2 linked regions of the Oryctolagus cuniculus genome follow. The protein of the gene in region 1 purifies or fractionates together with the protein of each later gene. This does not show direct contact. Links are inferred from orthologs where the notes say so. Each region holds a gene or a part of one and is shown in the gene's direction. Other genes may lie near its edges.

Evidence for each region. Proteins that work in one complex are often made in the same cells at the same time.
Region 2: the proteins of EPN1 (region 1) and PHGDH purify together in Homo sapiens (affinity purification with mass spectrometry; 3 studies listed by BioGRID and IntAct, with this or other methods). This does not show direct contact. The link is inferred for Oryctolagus cuniculus from reciprocal best matches to the Homo sapiens genes EPN1 and PHGDH.

The regions. Positions count from the first base shown.
Region 1 is NC_091449.1:3,309,381-3,314,343, reverse strand, and holds part of EPN1 (epsin-1), read left to right. Parts: intron 1-2,993; coding exon 2,994-3,297; intron 3,298-3,718; coding exon 3,719-3,829; intron 3,830-3,965; coding exon 3,966-4,052; intron 4,053-4,963. UniProt on the Homo sapiens protein: Binds to membranes enriched in phosphatidylinositol 4,5-bisphosphate (PtdIns(4,5)P2). Modifies membrane curvature and facilitates the formation of clathrin-coated invaginations. Regulates receptor-mediated endocytosis.
Region 2 is NC_091438.1:50,856,260-50,861,222, reverse strand, and holds the end of PHGDH (D-3-phosphoglycerate dehydrogenase), read left to right. Parts: intron 1-1,027; coding exon 1,028-1,160; intron 1,161-2,670; coding exon 2,671-2,801; intron 2,802-3,627; coding exon 3,628-3,865; intron 3,866-4,601; coding exon 4,602-4,756; 3' UTR 4,757-4,886; downstream 4,887-4,963. UniProt on the Homo sapiens protein: Catalyzes the reversible oxidation of 3-phospho-D-glycerate to 3-phosphonooxypyruvate, the first step of the phosphorylated L-serine biosynthesis pathway.

The DNA.
Region 1 (4,963 bases):
GGACACCCCCCAGCGCCTTCCCCGTCTCATCTCTGTGCCGACCCAGTGGACACCCCCCAGCGCCTTCCCCGTCTAATCTCTGTGCTGACCCAGTGGACACCCCCCACCTTCCCTGTCTCATCTCTGTGCTGACCCAGTGGACACCCCCCCACCTTCCCCGTCTCATCTCTGTGCTGACCCAGTGGGCGCCAGCGCTGCCCTGTGTGGGCTACCCCCTCACCTTCCCCATCTCATCTCTGTGCTGACCCAGTGGACACCCCCCAGCTCTTCCCCGTCTCATCTCTGTGCCGACCCAGTGGACACCCCCCAGCGCCTTCCCCGTCTCATCTCTGTGCTGACCCAGTGGACACCCCCCAGCGCCTTCCCCGTCTCATCTCTGTGCTGACCCAGTGGACACCCCCCACCTTCCCCGTCTCCTCTCTGTGCTGACCCAGTGGACACCCCCCAGCGCCTTCCCCGTCTCCTCTCTGTGCTGACCCAGTGGACACTCCCCACCTTCCCTGTCTCATCTCTGTGCTGACCCAGTGGACACCCCCCCACCTTCCCCGTCTCATCTCTGTGCTGACCCAGTGGGCGCCAGCGCTGCCCTGTGTGGGCCACCCCCTCACCTTCCCCATCTCATCTCTGTGCTGACCCAGTGGACACCCCCCAGCGCCTTCCCCGTCTCATCTCTGTGCTGACCCAGTGGGTGCCAGTGCCGCCCTGTGGGAAAGGCTGGGAGCTGGCCTGGCCTTGCTACCTGCTGCTGTTCAGAGCAGGTTGTGGGAACGGCCCCTACTTGGAGGGGTGGGGGTGGGGCTCCCTCCCCGGAATGGGCAGTGGGTAGATTGTCATGGGCCATGGGACCCCCTGTGGCTCTTTTGACAGGTGGAAAGGCCTGCCTAGGCCGGTGTTAGCCGGAAGGTTCTCGGACCAGGGCAGAACGGTGGGGAGTGAGATGGTGGTGCCCACCTTGCCTGCCTCCATTGGGTGCCCTGGGACAAGACTCAGTTCCTCTCTCCTCTTGGGGCCCTTTGTGGGTGTGGGTGTTGGGGGGAATTCCACTCCAGGGGAAAGGGACTCTGGTCAGCTGGGCCCAGTCCTGTGCTCACCCCCAGAACTTGGGTGCTGCTTGAGTGAGTGTGTGTGTGTGTACATGTCCTGTCCTGTGTGCACTGCAGAGCTGGGGCGCACGTGTGTGTGTGTGTGTGTGTGTACTGCAGAGCTGGGGTGTCTGTGTGTGCACTGCAGAGCTGGGGTGTGTGTGCACTGCAGAGCTGGTGTGTGTGTGTGTGTGTACTGCAGAGCTGGGGTGTGTCTGTGTGTGTGTGTGTGCAGAGCTGGGGCATTTGTATGTGTGTGTACTGCAGAGCTGGGGTGTCTGTGTGTGTGTGTGTGCAGAGCTGGGGTGTGTGTGTGTGCAGAGCTGGGGTGTCTGTGTGTGTGTGCACTGCAGAGCTGGGGCGTGTGTGTGTGTGTGCACTGCAGAGCTGGGGCGTCTGTGTGTCTGTGTGTGTGTGCACTGCAGAGCTGGGGCGTGTGTGTGTGTGTGCACTGCAGAGCTGGGGCGTCTGTGTGTGCACTGCAGAGCTGGTGTGTGTGTGTGTGTGTGCGCACTGCAGAGCTGGGGCGTCTGTGTGTCTGTGTGTGTGTGCACTGCAGAGCTGGGGCGTGTGTGTGTGTGTGCACTGCAGAGCTGGGGCGTCTGTGTGTGTGTGCACTGCAGAGCTGGTGTGTGTGTGTGTGTGTGCGCACTGCAGAGCTGGGGCGTCTGTGTGTCTGTGTGTGTGTGCACTGCAGAGCTGGGGCGTCTGTGTGTCTGTGTGTGTGTGCACTGCAGAGCTGGGGCGTGTGTGTGTGTGCACTGCAGAGCTGGGGCGTCTGTGTGTGTGTGCACTGCAGAGCTGGGGTGTGTCTGTGTGTGTGTGTGCGCAGAGCTGGGGCATTTGTATGTGTGTGTACTGCAGAGCTGGGGTGTCTGTGTGTGTGTGTGTGCAGAGCTGGGGCGTCTGTGTGTGTGTGCACTGCAGAGCTGGGGCGTCTGTGTGTGTGTGCACTGCAGAGCTGGGGCGTGTGTGTGTGTGTGCGCACTGCAGAGCTGGGGCGTCTGTGTGTGTGTGCACTGCAGAGCTGGGGCATCTGTGTGTGTGTGTGTGCACTGCAGAGCTGGGGCATCTGTGTGTGTGTGTGTGCACTGCAGAGCTGGGGCGTCTGTGTGTGTGTGCACTGCAGAGCTGGGGCATCTGTGTGTGTGTGTGTGCACTGCAGAGCTGGGGCGTCTGTGTGTGTGTGCACTGCAGAGCTGGGGCGTGTGTGTGTGTGTGCACTGCAGAGCTGGGGCGTCTGTGTGTGTGCACTGCAGAGCTGGGGTGTGTGTGTGTGTGTGTGTGCAGAGCTGGGGCGTGTGTGTGTGTGCGCAGAGCTGGGGTGTGTGTGTGTGCACTGCAGAGCTGGGGTGTGTGTGTGTGTGTGTGTGTGTGTGCACGGCCTGTCCTGTGTGTGTGTGCACTGCAGAGCTGGGGCATGTGTGTGTGCACTGCAGAGCTGGGGCATCTGTGTGTCTGTGTGTGTGTGCACTGCAGAGCTGGGGCGTCTGTGTGTCTGTGCACTGCAGAGCTGGGGCGTGTGTGTGTGTGTGCAGAGCTGGGGCGTCTGTGTGTGTGTGCACTGCAGAGCTGGGGCGTCTGTGTGTGTGTGTGTGCACTGCAGAGCTGGGGCGTGTGTGTGTGTGTGTGTGTGTGTGTGCACGGCCTGTCCTGTGTGTGTGTGCCGAGTGGGCAGTAGGGAGGTGGATGGAAGGAGGCATCCAGTTCCATGGGTTGGGGGGACCACCTAGTTCCTTGGGGGGGCAGAGGTGAGCAGATGGGGGATGCTTAAGGTGGGGGCCGCGCAGGTGTCTGCAGGGCTGGCTCGGGCCCTCTCCGTCATCCTGCCCCGGCTCCAGCCAGGGCTGGCTGGGACTTGGGGGCGTCTCTCTCCCGTGCCCTCACGCTCCCCTCTGTCTCCTGCTGTAGTCGTCCCTCATGGATCTCGCTGACGTCTTCACAGCCCCAGCGCCTCCACCGGCCTCTGACCCCTGGGGGGGCCCAGCACCCATGGCTACCGCCATGCCCACGGCTGCCCCCGCCTCGGACCCGTGGGGGGGACCCGCTGTCCCTCCAGCTGCTGATCCCTGGGGCGGCCCAGCCCCCACGCCGGCTGCTGGGGACCCCTGGAGGCCTGCTGCCCCCGCAGGGCCCTCTGTGGACCCTTGGGGAGGGAGCTCGGCCCCCGCAGCTGGAGAGGGGCCCACACCTGACCCGTGGGGAAGCTCTGATGGTGAGTTCCCGACGCCCGTGTGCCAGGCGGGGGGTGGTGCCCTGGGTGCCCTGGGGTGGGGCTCAGGAGAGGGCATGGGATGGGGACCTGTAGGGAGACACTGCTCAGCCGTGGGGCGGAGAGGTCAAGCCAGAGCCTTGTGAGGGGCGGTGGAGCACAGCGGGCCAGGGGCCCTGCTGGGTGAGGGGCGGGGAGAGGTGCAGCAGCGGGACCTGGTGAGGGGCGGTGGAGCCCAGCGGGCTAGGCGCCCTGCTGGGTGAGGGGCGGGGAGAGGTGCAGCAGCGGGGCCTTGTGTGTGAGAGCCCGGGGCTGGGGAAGGCTCCTGGGGAGAAGACGAGCACCTGGAGGTGGGCCTCGGGAGGTCTTGGGTCTGAGTGGCAGGCGAGGGTGCTAGCCCTGCTGTGCCTCCGTGGTCACCCAGGAGGGGCCTCGCTCAGTGGACCCCCGGCCTCTGACCCCTGGGCACCGGCTCCAGCCTTCTCAGACCCCTGGGGGGGCTCCCCTGCCAAGCCGAGCACCAACGGCACTGCAGGTACGAGGTGGCTCCGGGCCTGGGGGTGGGGGTGAGAGTGGCCGTCCCGGGTCCTGAGGCACAGACGCGGGAAGGAGATGGGGGTCGGAGGAGGGCAGGTGCTAAGTGGAGCCTCCCGCCCCTGCCACCCCCACAGCAGCTGGGGGCTTTGACCCAGAGCTCGATGAGTTCTCTGACTTCGACCGGCTCCGCACGGCCCTGCCAACCTCTGGGAGCAGCACAGGTGAGCCCCCTGCCCCCTCAGTGCAGCCTTCGGGCCGGATGTGAGGGTGAAGCGTTCGGTGGACGGAGCCATCCGTGCGTCTGTCTGTCTTGTGTGTGAGGCAGGTGGATGGAGATCCCACACCCGTTGGTTCACTCCCCAAACGCCCGCAGCGGCTGGGGCTGGGCCAGGCTGAAACCAGGGCCCGGAGCGGCACCCAGGTCCCACCAGGCGGCAGCGCCAGCTCCAGTCATCCCTGCCGCGCCCCAGGCTGTGCACTGGCAGGAAGCTGGGTTTTAAGTGGCGCCTTAGCCGCTGCCCCACCTGCAGTGGGCAGAGAAGAGCGGCTTTGTTTTGAGTAATCGTGTATTCAGAGAAAGCGTCTAGAAGTGGCACAGAGAATTGTCCTTTTGAGATTTCCCCCTTGAAGGCCGGCCTCTGACGACCAGAGTCTGGGGGGCGGCCCCAGCAGGCGTCCTGCTGGCTACAGGGCCTGGCCGTGCGGGCGGCTGGGTAGCCCCCCGGCTCTGCAGGCTGCCCCTCTCTTGGCAGTGACCTGTTGGGGAGTGGGTGGGAACCCCACTTCAGAGAGTCTTAGGAGGCTGTTGTCAGCGCCTGTTGGAGCTGAGCACCCGTGTCCAGGCCCACGCGGTGCACAGGAGCTCGGGGCAGGGCAAGCGCCTGGCAGTGCTGCCCGGCACGCTGCCCGAGGGGCGACCGGGCCGACTTCCGGCCTGCCGTACTTCGCCGTCCCGGCCCTGCCCGGCGCGGATCCGTGGGGGTTCTCAGGTGCAGTCTGCAGCTGTCGCCACACCCCCCTGTTGCTCTGCATGGAGGGGCCTCCTGGGCCGTGAGCAGCCCCCGCTTTCCCTGCTGGGTGCAGACGGCCCAGGGTTCCCCCAGACAGGCTGCTGCGGGGTGTAGATAGGGCC
Region 2 (4,963 bases), on another chromosome or scaffold:
GTGGGGCAGAGAGGGGCGAGGCCAAGTGAGGGTGAACAGACGCAGCCCTGGAAGCTAAAGTCACAGGGAGCAGGGGGCGGGGCAGGGGGCTCTGTCTCCAGCCTTGATGGTCAGCCCTGGGGCATCCCTGCTACATTGTGGCCCTGCTGCAGACACTGGCGGTTCCCAGGGCCCAGCCACTAGAGAAAGGCGGCTTTGTTCTCCTGGTGCCTTGGGGCTGGAGGAGTGTTGCTAGGGTGACAGCTGGCCCTGGGCGAGCGGCAAGCTGGCCTGTTCCCAAGGCCTCTGCAGGGAGCTTGCACCCAGTAAACTCCCAGAGCACTCTTTCCGTCCCGTCCATAGTCAGGGTCTCACCCTACTCCCCACACCTGCCAACATGAACCCTCTGTGCCAGCCGGCCTCCTGAGCCTCCCTAAATCATGTCCTGCCTCACCGTGGACTCACAGCATGAAGTGATCACCCAGATCATGGATCTGGCTTTATGCATTGTGCTATGTGTTCATGGTGTTTCACTGGGACGTAAACACTCAGGGCCATCAAGGCAGAAGATGAGAAATGAAGACAAGCTTAGAATGCTATCCTATCGCTTCCCGGCCTTTTGGCTAAGATCAAGTGTAGAATGCCATCCAAGGGAGATGCACATGGGATGCCATGTGTTTTTTTGTGCCAAAGACCCCCCCCCCCCCGCATTGTGCTCTCCAGACCTTAACCCAGCACAGGTGAACCCAAGTTTTCATAGAGAGGCAAGGCTGACATACTCCTTGATGGAGGAAATGCCCCCCGCCCCTAGTCATTTTGAGTGTTCTTGGCCTTTTGTGTCCATTTCTGGCTCTCTAGCTCCCCTGCAGGAACAAGTCATTGTCTCTTTGTTGGCTGGCGGGAGTTGCCACCCACCAGGCACCCAAAGCAAGGCAGGCCCTTTTGTCCAGCTCTCAGCAACACAACCTTGATGTGGTTGCTAAGTCGGGCAGGTGAGCCCCTGGCCTGCCTCTTCCTGACTACAGCACTGCCCCCCCTTTCCCTGCAGGTGAATGCCGAGGCCCTGACCAGCGCTTTCTCTCCACACACCAAGCCTTGGATTGGCCTGGCAGAAGCTCTGGGGACTCTGATGCGAGCCTGGGCTGGATCCCCCAAAGGGACCATCCAGGTGGTGACACAGGGTGAGCCCGGAGTTTTCAGCATCACCCTCTGCATGTGGACATAGCAAGGGGCTGAGAAAGGGGTCATGGGCCAGGTTTGCTGGGGGTGTTGCACAGAGCTGGTAAGAGACTGGGATGAGTCTGACAGGAGACCCGGCCTTGCTCTGAGAGCAGTTCACCCACTGCCAGGCTGGAGACACAGGGAAGGAGTATGCAGAGTTCCTTGGAAGAGGTGTTGAATTTTCTAAAGTCATTCTGTGTAGTATTTGCAAGATATACTTGTTTTGTTTGCAAGAGAGAACCTCTACAAGAGAGTTTCATGCAAGATGTGGTGGGCTCGGTGGAGGGAGAACCAAATTAAGCACCAGGGGGCTTAATTCTGGCTTTGACCTTGTTGCTTACCTACTGTTTGTCTTTCCGTTTTCTGAGCCTCGGGTCCCTTACATGGCGAGGGAGAGCCAGTGGGTGGATGCTCCCGGTGCAGCGATGGGGATGTTTTGTGCTCTGTGACTTGCTAAGGGGGGCAGTCCGCAGTCCTCGGGTGTCTGCTCGGCCATGGAGGAGGATGAGAGCAGGGCCTGTGTTCAGCCCCGGGGCTGCTGAGCAGCCTGTGGTGGCCTCAGCATCGCCAGCACCATGCAGATGTGCTTGGGTGACCAGGGAGGGCTGCAGTTCCCTGAACCCTGGGGAGGCTGGTCCTCTCCCACTGCCTGCTAGGCATCTTCATGCTGGGAGAGACTGCAGGGTGTGGGCAGTTAAACGCCAGGCATTGACAATGCCGGGGAAGGGCAGAGCCTGGGGATCCCCACCCCCTGGGTGCCCAGCTCCAGGAAGGAACAAGGCAGGGCAGCAGTGTAGCAACCGCGGCTTTCCACTTTCCTTTCCTGGGCCCACAAGGGGCTGAGTGCCAAGTAGGATGGGATAGGACATTTTCTCAGTGGCTCCTGGGAGAGCAGCAGGCAGCCCAGAGCAGCCAAGCCATTGGTAGGGAGCAGCAGAGCTGGGCTGAGCTTTGCCAAGGAGTTTCTTAGGTTGCTTAAGTAACCTGGATGTCTCCCATGGCTGCCTCTGAGCCCGCTGTGGGAGAAGGGGGACTGCGCAGGGCACACTGCAGCCCAAAGCCTGGAGCTAGCAGTAGTGGCCTCCAGCCCCTTTTTAATTTTGATTATTTTTAAAAGATTCTTTATTTGGAAGGCACAGTAGCAGAGAGAGAAGGGGAGAGAGCGAGTGCTTCCAACTGCTGGGTCACTCCCCAAATGACTGTGTCAGCCAGACCTAGAGCAGGCTAAAGCCAGGAGCCAGGAATTCCACCCTGGTCTCCCAAGTGGTTGACAGGGATCCAGATTCTTTAGGCCATTTTCCCTTCTCAAGTGCATTAGTAAGGAGCTGGATTGGAAGTGGAGCAGCTGGGACTGGAACCAGCACTCCTTTGTGGGATGCGGGTGCTGCACGCAACAGCCTTGACCCACTGCATCGCCTTCTGTGGCACTCCGTACAAAGTGACCTTATGGCAGCGTCTCTCTGTCCCCAGGAGCATCCCTGAAGAATGCAGGGAACTGCCTAAGCCCCGCTGTCATAGTCGGCCTCCTGAAAGAAGCTTCCAAGCAGGCGGAAGTGAACTTGGTGAACGCCAAGCTGCTGGTGAAGGAGGCTGGCCTCGCTGTGCGTCCGCATCCCCACGTGTCCCCTGTCAGCGCTGCTGGCGCCCCCACATGTTCAGAGCCCCCACATGCTGAGTGCCCCTCACTGACATCCATCCTGGGTGCACACCGGGTGCCCCTGTGAGAGGTGGTTTTCATCTCTGCTGCAAAATGGAGAGCCTTGCTGGGTGCCCTGGGCCTCAGGAGAGTGCTTGTGAGCAGCCCGTGGTGGCAGTGCCTGCGTGGCCCAGCTGAGGAACCCAGGAGCTGGGTTGATCCAGACCAGAGGCTTGGAGAAGGCCCAGCTCTGTCCACCCTGGCTCTCCACCCAGGTCCCATACTCCACAGCGCCCAGCGCCTTTGCTCGTGCTGCCTTTTATCCCCAGGTGGCATGGTCTCTGCTGCCTCACTGGCTTCCCTTTGGCATCTTCCCCACTGAGTTTCTCAGTCAGAGGGAGCTGGCAGGAGCAACAAGCAGTAGCGTTCCCACGGCCCCGCCTGCAGGCCCCTCCTCCCTCCATCCGGGGCAGGCCGTTGGTGCTGTGCAGGAAGCAGCAGGTGGGAGCAGGAAGTGCCCATCAGCTCAGCGGTGGAGGCCTCCTCACAGCCCAATCTCCCTCCCTCCCTTCCTCTGCGTGGTTCCCACCCCTCCCCTGCAAGCCTCTGCCTGCCCTTGACCCTTAGGGAGGTCTGTGACTGTTTTCCAGCTCAGTCCATTTGCCCTCCCTCCACACCGCCCCCAGCCTCAGCCCTGAATTGGAGACCTTGTTGGCCAGGCTGGAGCCCAGGGGGAGGGCTGCTGGGATGCAGCCAGGAGGAGTCACGGCCTCCTGGCCTTCTCTCCGCAGGTCACCACCTCCCACAGCAACACTGCTGCAGGGGAGCAGGGCAGTGGGGAATGCGTCCTGACCGTGGCCTTGGCAGGTGCCCCCTACCAGGCTGTGGGCTCGGTCCAGGGCACCACACCTGTGCTGCAGGCTCTCAACGGAGCTGTTTTCAGGCCAGAAGTGCCTCTCCGCCGGGGCCTGCCCCTGCTCATGTTCCGGGCTCAGCCCTCCAACCCGGCTCTGCTGCCTACGATGATTGGTGAGAAGGGCCCTGGGGAGCTGGTTAGGGCAGGGGCAGTGGGGTGGGGGTGGGGGGCGTCTGCTCTGGAATTGGGTCCCAAGGACTTTCTGCCTCCTCAGTCCCTCTCCATGCTTTGGTGTCTCCGGGTCCGCGCCTTACAGAGCAGTTCCCAGAATATCCCGGTGTGGGTAACGAATTCAGAAAAAGCAAGTGCCTTGCCCCAGGGCAATGTGAAAGGTGCAACCAGAGCCGCTGTAACCGCCTTGACTATGTGTTCTGAGCTGGCCATGTGGAGCACAGTTAGGCCCTGCCAGCAAGTGCCTGGCTACAGCAAGTCCTACAGAGCCATCCCCTCCAGTGGTCACCGGCATCCCAGACCTGCCCCGGGCCCCTGGGACCTAGGCTGCTGGGGGTTTTGGAGCACCTTTGGGTTTTGCAGAGCATGTGTCCAACCAGACTCTGAAGGGCCAGCCTGGATACATCTGTCAGTCTGCACGGCAGAGCCTACCATTCTGTGGCCAGATCTGTCCTGCCCTGGCCTGCCCGGTGGTCTGGGTGGTTCTGAAGAGTCTCTGGAATAGCGGGGGCAGCGGGCAGGTGCCCTGTTGTTCCTTTGTCTCAGCTCTTTGACTCTAAGGCCATTGCCACCTCCACCCCATCGCAACTTTGATTGCAGATGCCTCACTCTGCTACCAGCCCCCATCTTCCCCCTCCTTCATGCCCTGGGTCAGTCTGAGGCTTCTTCCACTTCCAGGACTCCTGGCAGAGGCAGGCGTGCAGCTGCTGTCCTACCAGACCTCGATGGTGTCGGATGGAGAGACCTGGCACGTCATGGGCATCTCCTCCCTGCTGCCCAGCCTGGAGGAGTGGCGGCAGCATGTGACCCAGGCCTTCCAATTCCACTTCTAGACGTGGGCTCACTGTCCCAGCCTCCAGGCCTTCCTGAAGACGCATAGCCACTGTGACTGACAGGGTGACAGCTGCTCTATGCTCACCCTGTAGGACCCCAATAGCCACCTAATAAAGAGCCCGCTCCCAACCCCTTGTGTGGTGTGTTGCCGTTGTCCCGAAGAGCCACCAGAGGGCAGCCGTGAGGCTTGGTTTTGGCCGGGAGGG